Rattus norvegicus: one gene and its partner. The protein of the gene in region 1 binds, or shares a complex with, the protein of each later gene. Links are inferred from orthologs where the notes say so. Each region holds a gene or a part of one and is shown in the gene's direction. Other genes may lie near its edges.

Evidence for each region.
Region 2: Ppp4r2 (region 1) and Ppp4c share a complex: the UniProt entries of both Homo sapiens proteins name them as parts of the PP4 complex. The link is inferred for Rattus norvegicus from reciprocal best matches to the Homo sapiens genes PPP4R2 and PPP4C.

Annotation. Positions count from the first base shown.
Region 1 is NC_086022.1:135,031,371-135,035,182, forward strand, and holds part of Ppp4r2 (serine/threonine-protein phosphatase 4 regulatory subunit 2), read left to right. Parts: intron 1-2,253; coding exon 2,254-2,424; intron 2,425-3,812. UniProt on the Homo sapiens protein: Regulatory subunit of serine/threonine-protein phosphatase 4 (PP4). May regulate the activity of PPP4C at centrosomal microtubule organizing centers.
Region 2 is NC_086019.1:190,827,142-190,831,640, reverse strand, and holds the start of Ppp4c (serine/threonine-protein phosphatase 4 catalytic subunit), read left to right. Parts: upstream 1-1,393; 5' UTR 1,394-1,545; intron 1,546-1,579; exon of another isoform or gene 1,580-1,744; 5' UTR 1,745-1,808; coding exon 1,809-1,906; intron 1,907-4,499. UniProt on the Homo sapiens protein: Protein phosphatase that is involved in many processes such as microtubule organization at centrosomes, maturation of spliceosomal snRNPs, apoptosis, DNA repair, tumor necrosis factor (TNF)-alpha signaling, activation of c-Jun N-terminal kinase MAPK8, regulation of histone acetylation, DNA damage checkpoint signaling, NF-kappa-B activation and cell migration.

The DNA of each region.
Region 1 (3,812 bases):
GTATGGATGAATGATCTATGCTACTTTCGTAGTTTACAGTACTGCTAGAGAGTTGTATGTCTAGCATTTTTATGTATGCCATTGCGAATTATTGCTGTTTTTTATAATTATATTAAACAGTGAACTTACATGAAATTTCTGTCTGCACAAGAAAATAGGAGCTACCCCTAACTTTTGTGTCTCCTAGAACTTAGACTGTTTGCTCAGGTATCGTCTTTACTTTTTTTCTTACACTAATGGTGAAGCGTAAGGGGAGGATAAAAAGGTCTGGTTCTATTCCTAGGGGATATGAACGAACCTTGACTCATGCTTGATTAGGAACCAGTGTCAGACCTAAGTAAAGGATACCGCCACCAAAGTCCAGCTTGGTGAGCACTGGCTCCGTTTACATTTACTGGTTGTTTTAGTCAATGTTCTATTGCTGTGAAAGACACCAAGACCATGACAATTCCTATAAAGGAAAGTATTTAGGGCTTGCTTACACTTACACTTTAGGTAGTAGTTCTTAACTTTTCTAGTGCTGTGACCCTTCAATACAGTTCCTCATGTAAAACTGATTCCCCAACAATAAAATTGTTTTCTTCCTGCTTCATAGCTGTAATTTTGCTACTGTTATGAGTTGTAAACATCTGTTTTCTGATGGTCTTAGCTGACTGGACCCTTGTGAAAGGATGTTTAGTCCCCAAGGGGTCTGGACTCAGAAGTTGAGAACACTGGTTTAGAAATTTATCCATTATTAGCATGATGGCACGCAGGCAGGCAGAGTGCTAGAGAAGGAACTGAAAGCTATATGTCACCATCTACAGGCAGCAAGGAAGAGACAGTCACTGGGCCTGGCTGGAGCTTTTGAAACTCCAAAGCCCATCCCCAGTGACATACTTCTGCCAGCAAGGCTGCACCTACTCCCTCAAGGCCACACTTCCTAAATCCTGTCAAGTGGAATCACTCCCTAAAGACCAAGTATTCAAATGCACTGATGGTCCTTACAGAAGTGTGGATGAAGGGTTTCTTACAAGAACAGAAATGCTTTTTCACCAAAAGCTCACTCTGGGATGGGTAGCTGGTTACGGGGGAACTGGAAATGAGGAATGTACTGTGCTGCTTGTAGTTAGCCAAGCATGTCAGAGGGAGTGTCTTCCAGGCACTGTGGCCTTGGAGTGAGACAGTGCTAGAGAGATGGCTTAGTGGTTAAGAATTCTTGTTGCTCTTCCAGAGGACCTGAGTTTTGATTCCTGACACCCATATGGCAACTCACAACTGTCAGCAAAACTTCAGTTTCAGGAAATCTGACACCCTCTTCTGGCCTCTTTGGGCACCAGGCACCCAGAAAGTTTACAGGCAAACATTCAGACAAAATACCCATACGTACTAAAAGTAACAGTTCTTACAGATTATATAAGCTTGGGAAAGCAGGTTGCAGGGAGTTGGTCAGTGTCAGGATCCCAGGTCCTTATGAAACAGCTGAGTTGTTTACTGACTGGGTCTTACGGGCATTCCTTAATTTCCTGAGTCTGAACAGCTTCCTTCAAAGATGGAGCATTTTATCTTAGAGGAAATTGCCACGTAACAATGAATAGAGATGGAAAATGCATATTTTCCCCATGCAATATTTGTGTGCTTGTGTGCATGTGTATCTAAAGATGGCGTTGGAATTGATTTCTCTACCATATTTGTTCAGTAGAGTCAGTGTCTCTTGTTAAACCCAGAGCTTGCTCATAGCTTGTCAGGCTAGTGAGCTGGCTTCAGGGATCCCGTCTTCACCTAAGCACTGGTACCTACCTGGTACCTGGTACCTGGTTCTGGGAATCCAACCTCTTGTCCTCATGCTTGAGCTCTTCTTCCTAGCTTAGGCAGTTGTGTGCTTTACTTACTTTGTCAGACAGGCTAGGACCAGCACCCTGAGTACCTCAAATGACAATTGACTGAAAGTGTAAGGAGTGGGGGTGAAATTAAAGTTATTTTGGCTTAATGTAGTTATTTGTCTATATTTTTGAGTCAAGATCTCACTGTGTGGCACTTACATTGTAGACAAAACTGCCCATAAACTCTTAGAGATCCCCCTGCCTTAGTCTCCCAAGTGCTGGGATTATAGGTGTATACCACTAAACCTGGCATATTCTGTACTTGTAGTGGTAAGAGACTTTCCTAGTCCATATAAGCATTATAGTATGAAAATTATGAACGCATTTATAATGTCTGATTTGTGTGTTTAGTGTTAAGTAATTATTAATATTTTGTGACTTTTTTTTATAGGATTCAGTGGTCCCAATTTAAAGGCTATTTCATTTTCAAACTGGAGAAAGTGATGGATGATTTTAGAACTTCAGCTCCTGAACCAAGAGGTCCTCCCAATCCTAATGTTGAATATATTCCCTTTGATGAAATGAAGGAAAGAATACTGAAAATTGTCACTGGATTTAATGGGTATGCACATAATGATAGTGATAATATTTTCAAGAGTTAATTTTAACAACAAATATTTTTTTTCTTAAGTTTTGCTATATCAGATTGATAATTGACTTTTATCTTTAGTGTTTGCCAAATTTTGGTTCATAAATATTTTAAATGTTTACAACCTTGAAAAAAACTCGAACTGTTCTTATGAATTTCGAGGGTGTTCAGATTTTAAACATGCGTGTTAGCAGTGATATCCTATATCAAATTATGTTTTAATATTTCTTTTGTTTATTTACTATTATCTTGATACTTGGTGAAGACTTATTTATAAGAGGTTTATTTTAGAGTTTATGTGTTTTCCTTTCTTCCAATAACTCAACACTTTTAACCTTTTGTAAAACATTCAAAACACCAGGAGCACTAAATGAGTGTGATGCTATAACAGCGTCGCTGTGCTTCACAGTATCGTGTTTACGTCCTCAAGGGACGATGACGCGTTTGTGAGGGTGAACTGCTGAGCACACTGCATTGGCACTAGCGATTTGAAGTGTGTGATAACAGTATGAAATACAGTGACTTGGTTTATGTTAATAAAGTTCCTGCTTACTGGTAGGTTTTGTGAAGAAGTTTTAATTCTATGTTTTTAATCCATAAATAGCCTGATTGTTTTGGGGGCTGGTATTTGGAACAGGGTCTTATTTACTATGTAGCCCTGACTGGCTTTGGATTCACAGAGATCCACTTGCCTCTTTATCCTTTGTTGGGATTAAAGGTGTGTACCAACATTCTCAGCTGCTTATTATTTTAAGTTTAGGGGTTTGCCTACGATATCAGAAGCTTATGCTTTGATATTGGGTCTATTAATAAAACTACTTTTTCCAGGAGATGCTATGCTTGGTGTGTTTCGTCACATTAGTTTTCCCTGGCTCTGGAATGGAAGGAGACTTATCTTGACCATGCACCTTAGTTATTTACCACATGCGTGCCTGGTCACTATGAGTTTAGTTAGGACTCTTAAGAAAGTAAGCACCAGGAAAAAGCCACATGTTATGTTTGCTATATGTTGCATAAGATTTATTTTTGAACTGGGTATATGCAGGATAAACAGACTTCCTTTGTAGAATTCTTGTGTCTGTATGTATGTGTACACACACAAAATGCATAGCCATTTCAGATACATGAGTTAAAGTGAATTATACAATTTCATTGTGACTTGAGCTAATTTATAAATTAGTAAAAGCAAATATTCTTAATTGTATTAAAGTTAGAATAGATAACAGATAAGTAGGTTATTGGATAAGGCTAAAATATTTTTAATTTTTAACCTGTTAAAACATGTATTCATCTACTTCAGATGATTTGAACAGTCATTAATGCCTAAGCACACTTAAGCATAATTGCTCTTAAGGTGTTTT
Region 2 (4,499 bases), on another chromosome or scaffold:
CCAGCACTGCAAGGAAAAATTAAGTCCCTAGTTAGCCTTGCTGTCTAGAATTCTGTAGGCCACATTGGCCTTGAACTCTCGAGATCCGCCTTCCTCTGCTTCCCAAGTACTGGAATGAACATGTTCTAATTACTCCTTAGCTTCTATGAGACAATCTTTTCAAAAATTTATTTTATGTACATTATTATTTTAACTATGAATATGTGAGGGTGTTGTATCCCCTGACCAGTAGTTAAAATTGTGAGCTGCCATGTGGGTGCTGGGAATTGAACCTGGGTGGTTGGCTAGAAGAGCAACCAGTGTTAACCACTGAGCCATCTCTCCCACCCCTTAAAAGACGATCTTAAAGCACATAAAACTGTTCAAAATTAAGAGGGACAATAGAATATTGAGGAATATGGTGAGCAGAAGAGATTAATAACCTACTCTGCCTACAGCAAAAGGCAAAGAGAAGGAAGAGGAGTACATGTACTGTGAATTTGGAGAGTGTCAGGGTCTTATATTTTGAGTTTCAGCAACAGTAAATGAAACGTGAAAGCCAGGCTTGAAAAACCACTTTTCCTGGATTCATGTTTGAACCTTGGTTGACGTGAGCAAGCTAGTCTTTGAACCCATCCATTGCCACCTTCAAGGAATATGTTCAGGCAATAGGAAGTAATGCTGGGTGTGGTTGCTTAACATCTGGGCTGAGATTCGCTGTGAAATCTGGGCTATTCTGAGCTACAGTGAAACCCTGCCAAGAAAAAAATGTCAACTATTTTGGAATTAAGGGAGTCAAACAAGCTTGGTGTCCAGAGAGTGGGCACTTTCCCCCAATTAAATTTAAACCTCTGTGTTTTCTCTCATCACCATATGGGTCCTGGGGATCCAAATCAGGTCAGTCGGGCTTGGTGGCAAGTTCTTTTATCAGACATATAATCTTGTTGTTTTTTTGGTTTTTTTTTTTTTTCTGTTTGCTCATTTGCTCTGTAGCTTTGACAGCCTAGAATCCACGATCCAGCCTTAGCCTCCTAAATTCTGGGATTACATATAGGTGTGCTACCATGTCTGGCTCAGGTTCGGAGTTCCTCCATGGCAAGGTTTCTCTGGGACTGTGGCAAGAAATGTGGACTAGAATAGGCCCATTCATTGAACAACTATTTACGCCTATCTGCAATGCTTGGCCTTACTCTAAACACCGGAGAAGCAATGATGAACAAGGCAGTTTTATCCGTTAGATCTGTAATAGAAGCAAGATAGAAAGCAGCCAAGGGAAAACTGTAACGTGAGGCGAGAAGCCTACCGGAGCTCACATGACCTGGTGTATATAACTGAAGTACAGCTATACTAGCCTCCAGCTCACTTTGCCCGCCCACTTCCGGCTCCCTCGTTTCTCCTTCCCGATGCCTCGAAAGAGGCGTGACTTGTATATGTCACTTCCGGCGCGCGCGAGAACAGGTTTCCCTTTGCTTCCGCAGCGAGGCCGGAAGTAGAAGCGGCGGTGGCGGAGGCCCAAAGCGGAGGGAAGTGGGGAGTCTGAGAGACTCAGCTGGAGTCTCAGCGGCGGTAATTGTCCGAGGCCCCTCTAGGCCACCGTCCTTAGCGCGGGCCCGCGGGGTTCGACGGGAGTTGGCGGGGTGCGGCCAGGGCAGCGGGACGCGGAGGGTCCTGGACCGCCGTGAGGGGAGGGGGGGGCGGTCCCAGAATCGAGTCCCCCCTCCCGCACGGACCCTCTGATTGGCGGGCTCGCCTTCGCTTTTCCCAGGAGACCCCTGTGCGGTCCGGAGGGGGCGCCAGCCCCGACTCTGACCCGCGCCGGGGGGTGGGCCATGGCGGAAATCAGCGACCTGGACCGGCAGATCGAGCAGCTGCGGCGCTGCGAACTTATCAAAGAGAGCGAAGTCAAGGCCCTGTGCGCTAAGGCCAGGTAAGCCCGCAGGAGGGAGGCCAACCCGTGGCTCAGGGGTTTCGTCTGGGCGAACTCAGCTGAGAACTTAGGGTTTGTCATATCCCGGAAGCGTTCCCGGAGAGATGTCCCAAGAGCCACTTCCCACCAGGAACCATGGGGTCGGCTATATGTGTGTTTCTAGTGGAGTAAGAGCGAGTGGCAGGAAGTTCTAGGAAACTCAGGGAAAACGGCTTGCTCTGCTGGGGCGAAAGAGAAAGTTTCTTGGAGGGGCTGAGTTTTGGGACATGTCTTGAAGAATGAGGAGCTCGTTCAAGGCAAGAAAACAAAACGTGATTTGCGAAAGTCTCTCAATCTCATCAATCCTTAAAAGAGAAAGTAGTTTCGTGTCCAGTTTAACAAACAAGGACTACAATTGTTCAAAAGTACCAGCAAGGAAGGAGTGGAATCTGAAGCCAGTTCTCTGACTACAGATCCTTTTAGTTATTCTGGAAGATGAAGTCGAGCCAATTTTGTGTTCAGTTAAGATCCCAAGGAAAACAATTAATAAGCTAGAATAGCACATAATGAGTCTTAGACTAGCTTGGTTTACTGAGTTGAGGCCTTTTAAAAAAAGTAAGATTAAAAAAAAATACAGATCACAGCCTCAACACAGTAGTAATCCTAAGCACTTGGGAGGCAAAGAGAGAATGAGGGGTTTAGGGTTATCCTCAGCTAGGTCAGGGCCACCACATGAGACTCTGGCTCAGAAAGTGAAGCCAAGAAACAGTGATGAGGATATGGAGAGAGGCAGTGTTTTCTGGGAAGTAGAGGAAGTTGTAAATCAGCATCCCAGTTTGGGGGTGCAATGACTGTGGCTTTGAATCTGAGCGCTGGCACTCTAGGTGGTGACTTGGAAATGTCTAGGACTCAACAAAGTGGAACAAGTTGTGTTCAGTAAAATGGTTGTGACCATTCAGTGAATCTGAGCTGGAAGTGAACTCAGCACGGTGTTTGGGTACTCTAAGTTATGAGATGGTGTTTTTATGCTGGAAAGGACAATAACGGTGTATTCAAAGATTGAAGCTTGGGAGGGGGGCGTTTTTTGTTTTTGTTTTTTCTGAGACAGGGTTTCTCTTTGTAACCTTGCCTTGTCCTAGAACTCACTTTGTAGACCAGGCTGGCCTTGAACTCAAGAGACCCACTTGCCTCTGCCTCCCAAGTGTTGGGATTAAAGACATGTGCTACCACCACCGGGTGACCCAGGTGCTTCTTAGGGTAGACCTTGAAAGATATATTCTTTTTTTTTTCTTTAAAGATGTATTTATTTATTATATTTATATGAATAACACTGTAGCTGTCTTCAGACACACCAGAAGAGGGCATTGAATCCCATTAGAGATGGTTGTGAGCCACCATGTGGTTGCTGGGATTTGAACTCAGGACCTCTGGAAGAGCAGTCAGTGCCCTTAACCACTGAGCCATCTCTCCAGCCCGAAAGATATATTCTTGACCAGCTGACAGAACACAGTGAGGAGTAGTCGAGCAGGGTAGGAGTAAATGTGTAGGCAATAGTTGAGGCTTGTTCCGGCTCCTCTGGAAACTGTTTCAGTGTGGCTTCCACCCTCTTAGTAGACAGTAGCCTGGTCCTCACTCTTGCCCACTAGTCCTGTGAGGCTGGGAGAGTTATGTGTGTATGCCTGTCTGTCTGTCTGTCTGCCCATGTAGCCCCAGCTGGCTTTGAACTCAGAGATCCATCTGTCTCTGTTTCTCAAATGATTCTTTCTTTTTACAGAGTAGGAAGCCATGACTTCTAGATACCAGTGTCTTGATGCAGGCTACCCATTGAGGCTGTGACAGCTGGTGTCCTAGTTTACTTTCTCTTGCTGAGCTGCATCTCTAGCCCTGTTTGGTTTGAGGTCTTTGTTTTGGAGACGGGATCTTACTGTCTCTTAGGCTGATCTGGAGCATGGAATCTTTTGTCTCTGCCACCATGCCATTGTGCCTGACTGGTTGAGGTTGTGTTTATTTTCTTAGACAGGATGCTCACATCTTAGGCTGGCCTTGAACTTGCTATATAGCCAAGCATAACCTTGATCTTTCTGACTTACATACCAAGTACTGGCATTCCTGGTGTGTGTGTTCCTGGTATTGATTTGAGGCTGTATTGCTCCTCTGGAAATTGGATTCTCGGGTTCAGCAAGTTTCCAGCTTGATCTTGACGCTATTCTTGAAGGAGGTCTTTGGGGGAAATCATCATAGGGGTAGGGTTAGAAAAGACAGTGCTGGTGTTGGGGATTTAGCTCAGCGGTAAAGCCCTTGCCTAGGGAGCGCAAGGCCCTGGGTTCGGTCCCCAGCTCCGAAAAAAAAAAAAAAGAAAAGAAAAGACAGTGCTGAGTTCAGTCAGAGAAGACATTGTTTGAAGAACCCACAAAGTAGCAAAAAGAAAAGCTGTACCAGAGCCCATTCCTTATGTTGTAGATGCTGGTTACAGTGCTGCATCCTTTAATCCCAGTACACATGAGACAGACAGACAGGCAAATTTCCTGAGCTTGAGACTAGCCTGGGTTACACATCCAGGCTAGACAAGGATACATAATGAGGCTCTGTCTCCAAAACAAATAAAATGTAATGC